2 linked regions of the Mus musculus genome follow. The protein of the gene in region 2 binds, or shares a complex with, the protein of the main gene of each other region. Links are inferred from orthologs where the notes say so. Each region holds a gene or a part of one and is shown on either strand. Other genes may lie near its edges.

Region 1 (5,067 bases), on a different chromosome or scaffold from region 2:
TTTCTCTGTGTAGCCCTGGCTGTCCTGGAACTCACTTTGTAGACCATGCTGGCCTCGAACTCAGAAATCCACCTGCCTCTGCCTCCTGAGTGCTGGGATTTAAAGGCATGTGCCACCATGCCCGGCCAGTTTTTGCTTTTTAAGTAAATGTAATTCTGTCCTTTTGGGTTTTTTAAAAAGATTTTATCTGTATAAGCATTTTGCTTGCATGTATGTCTGTGTACATGTCTGTGTATCAGGGCCTGTGGAAGCCAGCAAAGGGCATCCAATCTCCCTGGAACTAGAGCTATACTGTGTGGGTGCTGGGAATTGGACCAGGGTCCTCTGGAAGAGCAGCCTGTATTCAGTTTTTAAAAACATCTTAGTGGCCAAAATAAAGTATGTCTGATGGCTAAATCCTAGCTACAGGGCACCAGTTTGCATTGCTCCAAAACATCTACTTAACCTATGACAGCATCTTCTGTTCTGTTAGGATGACTAATCTATTTATTTTACAGGGATACTTGGGTTTGAACTCCTTCCTTTGGACTGAAATGGCTGCAACCCAACTTCCAGTGGGAAAACCTGTAAAGGCATCCTGCAGCCTGCCTCCCATCTGTAGGAATGGTACCTGGTCCGGTCTGAGGCTGCACTGCTGCTGCTGCTGCTGCTGGACTCAGAGTCTGAGCTGCTTCGGGGAAGGTTGCAGTCATTACGGTACACCAAGAAACTCTTCTTCACTGGCTGGTTCCCACTGCTGAAGCCATTGGCTGGTAAGTCTTAGAGGGAAGAGGAGGAGGGAAGGAACCAACTGGTCAGGAAGATGTAGATCAGAGCCAGCATGGGGGGCGGGGGGGGGGGGGTAAGATGAAATCAAGAGTTTGGGTTCTCTTTCTGGGCTGAAAATTTCCTTCAGCTTTGGCCAGCGGAGATAGCTCTGGGCAGTTCTACCACAGCTGGCCAAAGGTCTTTCCTGACCCTCACCTCACCTTCCTTTGGCCTAAAGACATAAAGGCTTAAAGGGCAGGAAGTTCCCAAGACAGAAGAGAAGAGAAAACGTCAAGAGATGGTGGGGAGGGGTGTGGCTGTGAATCTGGCGGGGTAGTATCTCTGGGCCTCAGTTTTTACAAATGAAAGACGAGGAGGTGAAATTAAGACTCCTCAGCTGTCTATTATAAGGAAATAAGCTGGGGAGAATGGCAGCTCTGCTCACTCTCAGGGGAGAGGGGGAACTGGGGGCTGGGTGATGATGAGGCTCACCCATTGGGGGATCTTCTGTGGACTTATCACTGTCGCTGTCTGAGCTTGAACTGGGCCGGGGGCTCCTACCCCGCTTGCGCTGACGTAGGGAGCCCATGATGGGGAGCTGAGGGGGCCCCACAGGACTGCCTCCGTGGCTGGGGGTCATCTGGCTCTCCCGGTTTTTTGGGGGCCGGCCCGGCCTCTTGGGCGGTCCAGCTGTCTTCGGGTTCTTTTTGGAGAACAGAACTGAGGTTCTCCTGCCCACCTCATGTGCGGGGGTTGAGGACATGTTGGGACCCAGGCCTGGAGCAGAGAGAGAGAGAAGGAGAGTTGGTGAGGGGCCTGACATGAGAAGGGAGGGTAGATGTCCAGGGTCACACCCTGGGAATATAGAATCATTATCTAAAATTGAGATGATTTTGGGGCCTGGGATTTAGAACAACTCATACCAACAGCCAGAGAGGTAGCTAAGAAGCCCCTGACTGGGTAACGAAGAAGAAAGTACAGCTAGCCATGCAGGGCCTCTGCTTGGGAACAGCAGGGCTGAGTACATGCTACAGAGGTAAAATCTGGCTTGCTACGGGGTCCACCTTGCTATAGGGTTCAGACCTTTGCTTGTTTCCTGGCTGCTGCTCTCTTCTGCAGCACTGTCGGTCTGTCCATCTTTGTCACAGGCTGCTGGGTGGGGTGTCAGATTGCCCCGACCTGAGGGGCCATGACGCTCAGGCCCATCCCGGCCAGTCTCCCGCTGGTGAGCAAGCTTCCGCCGCAATGCTGTCATCTCCTTCTTGATCATTTTTGCACGCCGAGAGCGGCCCACACTCTGCTTGCTGGCATTGACTTCATCCAGCCTCTCCAGCAACAACTTCAGCTGTTCTTCTACTGGCAGGTGTTTCTGGTTCTCCAGCAGGACCAGCCGTTCTTCCTCTACTGCTAGGGAGAGTTGGGGGGAGAAAAGTCAGGCTCAAAGCAGCCCGTTGGGCCCCATGAACCTGGGCAGGCAAGAGGAAACCCACTCTTCCCATTGGCTTCTCCTAGAACAGCTGTTAAAACAGCAGCACTAGTATGTAGAGTGGTGGCCCAGCCATCCATTCACTCAGTCTGGCTTTTAGGAGAGCATTCCTGGGGAGAGCTTGCTGTTCCTCAGCCCAGCTGCTTTCTGCCTATATTGCCTGCTCCCAGGGACTTTAGGAAAGCTGTCCATCTCTACAGCATTGCCCTCAATACATGCGGATGACTTATCACCCACCATCTTCAGTGTGGTGTGAGACCTCATCTCCGGCCAGGTTGTGAGGGATATGCATGCCCGTCTCAAAGTCAATGCCCATTTTTTCTGCCTGTCGCCGGGCTTGACGGAGCACAGCACCACCCTGCTCACGGAGTCGCACTGCTGCCCTGTAGAAGATGGTGTCCTTGGCATTATACTTTAGGCAGTTGCTGACAATGAGGTTGAAGTCCTCCTCAAAATCATCAAAGTTCAAGTAGCGGTAAGCCTCCAAGTTCTGCTTCATGGTGAAAAAGTCCATGGGCTTTTTGATGTGGTCTAGGTAGTCGGGTACCTGGGAGAGCAGGGTAAGTGTCTAAGTGGAGATCTATTCTCATTCTCCCAAACCCTACTCTTAACAGCCCCCCTAAAATGCATCTAGCAACCACCTCCCACCATAGTTAAGAGGCAGGCATGTAGTACAAGGGGAAGTTCTAGTTCTGGCTTTACTAGTCACAAGCTGTGTGACCTTGGTAAGTCTCTTAACTTTCCTCGGCCTTATTTTCCTCTCCTGGAAATAGTAATAAAAATGCAGGCAAATATATTTATTGGCCACTGGCAGCTTTAATGAGAAAAAAAATCATGAGAATTCTCTAAAAATTATACCATCTTGTATATTGTTGTTCTTGTTTGTCATAAGGTTTGTGGTAAGGCCTCAAATGTCTCATTTCAGAAAGAAGGGTCAACCTAGGGCTTCAGAGTTGGCTCTTTAAATTCTTAGTCTTCTAAAGTTTCTATTCTAGGGTTGCACACCCTGAAAGCATCTTCCTGCCCTGTGATCTGGCAGACTCTGGGGAAGGAGTGCAGATGGGCTTCCATTCTGAGTTCTTGGGGTGGGGTAAGGATAGACAAGAGTCGAGGTGACACATGTAGCTCAGTTCATTCTGCCCCAGAGCCACCAAACCCTTTACACTTAGGTCCCAACCTAGTCCTGGGGTCAGACCTGCATCAGGGAGGGGTCCAACTGGGAGAGGAAGAAAAAGAAGTTGGAGTGAGGGGAAGGGATTCTTACTTCGTCCAATTCGGTTACCTCAGACAGAGGGACCGGCTCGCTGAAGATGTTGCCTGTGTCCTTCTCTTGGAGCTGCTCCAAGGTTTTTCGGAGGAGGATGAGGAAAGGGGTCAGCTGCATCTCCATGGCAATCTGCTGGATCTTGATCTGACACACAAAAAGGCTGGATCAGCCAGGTCCTGGCCAGTCCCTCAGCAGAGGTCAAAGGAGATGATCCTTGCTGGCTTAGGAACATGCTTTTCTCATTCAGACCCCATGAAAGAAAGCTGTCCTTATCTACTTTGGTCCCCGATCCTTTAACTCCTGGCCTGAGCTGCCTGGGTCACAGAGGTTTGGACTTTGTGCAATCTCCTTTAACATTTGGCCTCCCACAGACAGGCCTAAAAGCACATAATGCTGGAACTCAGAATGCCAGTATGGGCCTTGATGCTCTTGGCCATACACTTTCCCTTCTCCAGGACGTGTTCTACTTTGAGAACCAGGACTGGCCCTGGAGCACTCACCGTCTCCCTTTTTAGTTTCTCTCGCTTGCGGATCAGCTCCACCAGCAGCCGAGCTCGCTCCAGGTCATGCCGCAGTCTCTGCCAGGACTTGAGCTGTTCTTTGAGGGCCCAGTTTTTATCATCAGAATCTCTCTGTAGAGGTAAAAGGGGCATCAGAAAATGGTAAGAAAGCCAGAGGAGAGTCCAGAAGAGGAGTACCCAGGAAACCTAGGCCAAGGAGGAAACCCAGTAATTTACCAAAGCACCACTATTCACGTGTTGCCAGGGGCTAGAACCTAGAAAATGCTTGGTATGTTTGTTGAATTAATGAACCTACAGGAACAATGCCTTTCTACCAAGCTGATAATATACACATTTCATGTTGAGCCTGCAATGGGGTGGGGATGTTAATTTAACTTAGAAAAACTGTAAGCTCTTTGATGCTGGAGGATATTGCTACACATTTTAGTCCTTGCCCTTTTAGTACTAGTTTCCACAGCCCACAGGATTTGGACACGGTACCCCAACTTGTTCACAGTTCCTCTGAGACTGAAGGTGTGTTTGTAGGCGCCTGAGTAGTGGGACCCCATTCCGTGATTGTCGTTTCAGAGTCCAGTAGCTGTGCAGCCTCTGCATGAACTGGCTCTTCCTCTGGATGGTCAGGCGGTTGGTGATCTTACTGAGCCTGGGAACAAAATAAAACCCTGTTAGGTCCTGACTGCCAGGAAGAGCTCCTCAATTAGGATGAGTGGGGGCATTGATGCTCATCAAAAAGGTCTGGAAAATCAGGCATGGTAGCTCACACCGTGATCCCAGAAACCTAGAGGTGAGGGTAAAAGGATCCAGAAGCTCAAGGTCACATCTGACTATGGAGTTCAAGCCCAGCCTACAGGAGATTCTGTCGCAAAAAGGAATAGTTTGGAACTCTGGGTTTAAGGCATAATTAAAAGTGCCTTGAGTGGCACAACATAGCAGAGAGGAAACTGAGCTCAGCACTAAGGAGAACAGTTTCAGTCTGTCTTTAAGTCTGCTTAGTCACTGCAGCGTGGGCACGGCTAGCTAGACTCTCATCTCTCAGACTGTGCAGA
Region 2 (5,067 bases):
ACCTCCAGGGTTGGCAATAGATGCATACGTCAATAAAAGTGTACCTATTTAGCTCAACTGGGGATTGGTGGCAGGCATGGTAATCCCTGACAATCCCAGCATTCAAGGGGCTAAAGCAGAAGAAATTAGTTTGAGGCCAGCCAGGGTTCTGGAATAAAACTCTTAAAAACAGATAAGCAACACCTTACAAAAACAAATCTTGGTGCAAGGTAAAAGTGAAGAGCTCTACAAGCAGTCAGTATTTACTTCCTTCTCTTTAAAGACAGTGGGACTTAACTATTCTTCTCGGGTGGAGGGACTTTAACTATCGTTCAGACATGTAAAATATAAGAATTCAGGAAACCTATCATCTGCATGTGACTAGCATACATGAAGCTGGGTTCCATCTCCAGCCCAGGAAGGGGATCACTTGGTGAGCTTTCATACCCCACAAGAGGGTAAATTCCAGTGCTCCCTTCTGTTTCTCCTCAACAGTGTCAGCCATTTGCTGACGAGCGTCCTGTGAACACGGCCTGGCTACACCAGCCTCATGCTGCAAAGAAAGCATTGCTCTGGGTGCGGCTCGCCAGCGCGTCCAGATAAATGTGCTCCTGCCCTGCCCTTGAGTGTGCAGAGGTCACAGGACTCCAACCACCTGAGCCCACTGAGGTGCCACCCAGGGCAGTCCTGACCCTCGCTTCCTCAGAAAGAGCAATTTGGTGGCACCAGTCTCTTGGGGTGCGGTGGGGTGGGGTGGGGTGCAAGTGAGCACATTAGGCCTGGGAGGAGATCAGAACGGACAGGAATTCTGACTATAATAACCCAGTCCACCTTCTGGGCAGGCCTCGCCTCTTATGAGGGCAGTGCCCAGTGATGGTCTTTCAAATGCTACTGTGTTTCTGGAGGGGCTTCACACCTGGGGGAGAAGGAAGAAGTGTTATGCTCGTAGGAATGTTCTAGAAACCTGCAAGGACAAAGTTAAACTGAACACTTCTCTAGCACCCTCTTGTCAGTCAGCAGCTGGTCACATCACTAGTGCAAATGGTCAGGGGTGTCGCACGTAACCAGCAGGGTCTAAAGAGAACACTGGTCAGGGGTGCAGCGTCCCGAGAGACTTTCAAGAATGTTCTCCCTGCTCTAGACACTCTGAAATAGGAAAAGAATCACCAAAATGAAAACAAAGTAAATGTAATTAAAAAAAAAAATCAACATACAAGAAAACACTTAAGGGGCTGGAGAGATGGCTCAGCGGTTAAGAGCACCGACGGTTCTTCCAAAGGTCCTGAGTTCAAATCCCAGCAACCACATGGTGGCTCACAACCAGCCATAATGACATCTGACGCCCTCTACTGGTGTGTTTAAAGACACCTACAATGTACTTACACATAAATAATAAATAAATCTTAAAAAACACTTAATAATTATCTTCCCTCTGTGTGTGTGTGTGTGAGGTATATATACATGTGTCAGTGTATGTGTGTATGCGTGTGTGTGTGTGTGTGTGTGTGTGTGTGTCTGCACGTGTGTAGGCCAGAGATTGATGCAGGTGTCCCTTCATATAGTTTTTGAGAAAGGGTCCCATCACTTCTTTTAGCCTGGCTAGCTGGCAAGCCCCCAAGATCTCATGGTCCCTAATGCTGGTATTATGTACACATACAACTCACTGAGTGCTCTGATGTGGGTGCTGGGAGTAGAACTCAGGTCTTCATGCCTGCAGGGAAAGCACTTTACAAACTGAACTATCTCCCAACCCATAAAATACTCTTCAAGAGTATGGCTCTCTGGGCTGAGAAGATGGCTCAGCAGTTAAGAGCCCTGGCTGCTTATTCCAGAAGTCCTGAGTTCAGGTCCTAGCAACCACGGCTTACAGCCACCTGTAATGCGATCTGATTCCCTCTTCTGGTGTGCATGAAGATAGAGCAGTCATAAGTAAATAAATAACTCTTTTAAAAAAGAAAGAAAGAGAGTATGGCTCTTTGCTGTCTGCGATAAACTGGCCCTAAGCCTGCCACAGTGCTCCAATCACCTACAGTCTCACCATGGGGGAGGGGACAAGTCTTGTTGCTTCTCACTATAGTTTGAGGTAGCACAGTGGTTTTAGGTTTGCAGAAAAACCATAAAGCAATAATCCTTCATCACTATTTATAGGGAGAAAACACTATTTCTGCAATAAAACAAAAACAAAAACAAAAACAGAAAGCAAAAAAAAAAAAAAAAAAAAACAAGAAAAGTTTAAAAGAATTCAAGAATCTGTTGATGCCAAAGAGGTTCAAACCAGTTAAATTTAATTCTACAATATCCACAGTGCCGGGTCTGTGAAGTTCACAGTGTAACACCTTAGGTGCAGGAGGGGACACCCCACGGGTTTCTAAAGCAACATAGTTCGTTAGCCAACCAGAGGATAGGGAGCCAGCCCCACACAGCCCTGCGCACCCCTCTGACCCCACAGTGTTCAGGCTTCCAACACCAGGATGGGGAGGGCCCTGCTTTAGGTACTTATTCCCCTCTGAGTTAAGGCCCAGCAGTAGCATACAAACCCAGGCAGAGCGGCCACTAAGTCCCCTGAGACACCTGACCTCTCTGTCCACTGGTGTCATTCCCATCTCACTTCCCACTGCAAAAGTAACAGTGCTCAGAAGGTTCCTACGGAGGGAGGGATGCTCGCACTGAGGAGCTTTAAGTGTTTCCCCGTATCTGAAGGCAGCGTACTCAGAGAACTACAAAATAGAAAAGTCATAACAATCAAAACCCGTATTTAAAAAGTCATAAGGGCATGTCACCTCAGCTCCCACGGGAGCAGACAGGACCCTCTATCCCAGGTCACGGTTTCCCAACAACCAGAGTCGTCCTTTCAAGGACTCCTTTCTAATTTCCCTGTTTTCCTCTTAGCAAAGGACAATGGGAGTCACGGTCCATCCTAGTGACTCCCGTGGATCCTTCAGGGCCTCTCTACTGCCACCCTCCACCCCTCAGAGGACACCACCCCACTTTACTTGCACCAGAAGGATGTCTGCCACCCGCAACATGAGGACTCTGTCACTGTCCCAGGCACCTTCATTCCAACCAAGCCCCGCCCAGCATGTGTGAGGACTCTGGGTGGGACCCTGCCACTAACCTGTGCCGGTTTTTATTCTTCCGTTTTTTGTGGCTGCTGTGGTGGCTTCCTGAGGAGGTGGAAGAGGCGGCTTTCTGAGGTTTCACTCCCTGGACGGAGCCGTCTAGGTCCTCGGGGTCCTCCTGCGCAGGCTCGTTTTCCTGATTGTGGAAGTCTGGAGAAGTATCGCTTTCCGTCCCACTTCCTGGTTCCCCTAGAGGAACGAAAACAGGTCCCAAAAGCCAGATCAGGACTCCTCAAGTCCCCACGGGCCATGGAACAAAGAAGACGGGGAACAGGCACTCAAAGTATCAAAGCTAGGAAACCCCTGAAATCCACGTGGTCTGCAGCAGTGCGGGGGACAAGCCTGACCACAACTCAGAGCACTAAGGGCCATTTCAATATGGAGCACACTGAAGAGAGGAAGGGTTACGCCTTGGCAGAACTGACAAACGGTCAGAGAATCCTGCCTTTCAGTGAAGAGTTGGTGGAGGATGAGCTGGAGAAATGACTCTGAGATTAAAAGCAGGCACTGCTCTTACAGAGGACCCGAGCCTAACTCCCAGAACTCATGTCATAAGGCTCACCCACTGGAACTGCAGCGGCAGGAGATCCGACACCTCTGGCCTCCTTGGGTACCTGCACCCACATGCACACGCACACACACACACACATACACACACACACACACCCCACACCCTGCCCTGCCCGACACATACAGACCATTTAAAAAAATAAATTTAAAAAGCAAAAAGAAGGTGGTACCCAGTGGGGAGCAGCGTCCAGTCCATCCGTTGATTACTGCCGTCTTGGATCTTTTTTTTTTTTGGAGGGAAGATAGAGATTGTCTCATGGGAACTTGGGCCGTGAACTTCCTAGGTCTCAGAGGATACCCCAGAACTTTTCCCCCCAACTTTTTAATTTACTTCATTTTGAAACGATGTGTATGTGTGCACGGGTAGGGTTATAAGCAGTGGAGTGCAGGTGCCTGCAGAAGTAAAAAGACATCGGATCTCCTGGAGCTGGTATTACGGCATCAGACACTGGCACTGGGATCTGACCCACGGTCCTCTGAACAAGCACAAGCGTTCTTAACAACTGCATCTCTCCAGCTCCACCCCTTTATCTTTTTAAAATTTCATTTTACTCATTTATGTGTATGTTCGGGGGAGGGAGGGTGCCACAGCAGGGTAGTTTCAATGGGCCTGTCCCCACAGGCTCAGGCCTTTAAACACCTATCCCTAGGCAGTGGAGCTGCTTGGGAGAGTGTACAACCTGCAGGAGAAAGTATGCCACTAAGGGCAGGCTCAGTGGGCAGAGGTTCGCCCCACTTCTTGCTCACTCTCTCTTTCAAGTGTGACAAAATAGAATCAGCCAGCTTCCTACACGGGGAACCCATTCTCGCACCATAAAGGAAGCCAAACTAAACTTCCCCTGGTGACGGTACTACTGACAGCAATGCAAAGTAAATGATATCCACGGCAAGCAAAAGGAGGTCAGGGAACAGCTTGGGAGGCTCGGCTCTCTCCGTCACCTCTCGGATCAGACTCAAGGCATCTGGCTTAGCCATTGTGTTTGCCTACTAAGACATGGACTTCCCGTCTTCCAGCCCCAGCTCCAGGACGCTGAGATTACAGGCACGACCCCCCATGGTTTTCCCCTGCCTCTGGCAATCCTGAGTACCGAACCCGGCCAGTAAGCTAGACCATTGGCTCAGGGAGGCTTGAATGAAGTAGTAATTAATGTTCTTCAACTGACATAAATCGTCAATTTTAAAACAGCGCTTCAAAAGTCAGGTTGGGTGGCACATGCCTATAACCCTGGCACTCAGGAAGGTGAGACAGGAAGTCTCAAGTTCAAGGACAGCCTGGGCTACATAAAGAGCTCCTATGTCCAAACATTCATCATCATCATCATCACCATCACTTGGATACATTTAAACAACAGAAGCATGTTCAAGAACATCGCCTAAATACTGCCTCAGGGTCAGGTGG

What was found.
Region 1: Meaf6 (region 2) and Brpf1 share a complex: the UniProt entries of both Homo sapiens proteins name them as parts of the MOZ/MORF complex. The link is inferred for Mus musculus from reciprocal best matches to the Homo sapiens genes MEAF6 and BRPF1.

What each region holds. Positions count from the first base shown.
Region 1 is NC_000072.6:113,316,125-113,321,191, reverse strand, and holds part of Brpf1 (peregrin), read right to left. Parts: intron 4,665-5,067; coding exon 4,502-4,664; intron 4,133-4,501; coding exon 4,001-4,132; intron 3,645-4,000; coding exon 3,516-3,644; coding exon of another isoform or gene 3,498-3,515; intron 2,781-3,497; coding exon 2,471-2,780; intron 2,155-2,470; coding exon of another isoform or gene 2,152-2,154; coding exon 1,831-2,151; intron 1,525-1,830; coding exon 1,240-1,524; intron 759-1,239; coding exon 611-758; intron 1-610. UniProt on the Homo sapiens protein: Scaffold subunit of various histone acetyltransferase (HAT) complexes, such as the MOZ/MORF and HBO1 complexes, which have a histone H3 acetyltransferase activity.
Region 2 is NC_000070.6:125,101,059-125,106,125, reverse strand, and holds part of Meaf6 (chromatin modification-related protein MEAF6), read right to left. Parts: intron 3,288-5,067; coding exon 3,095-3,287; intron 2,697-3,094; exon of another isoform or gene 1-2,696.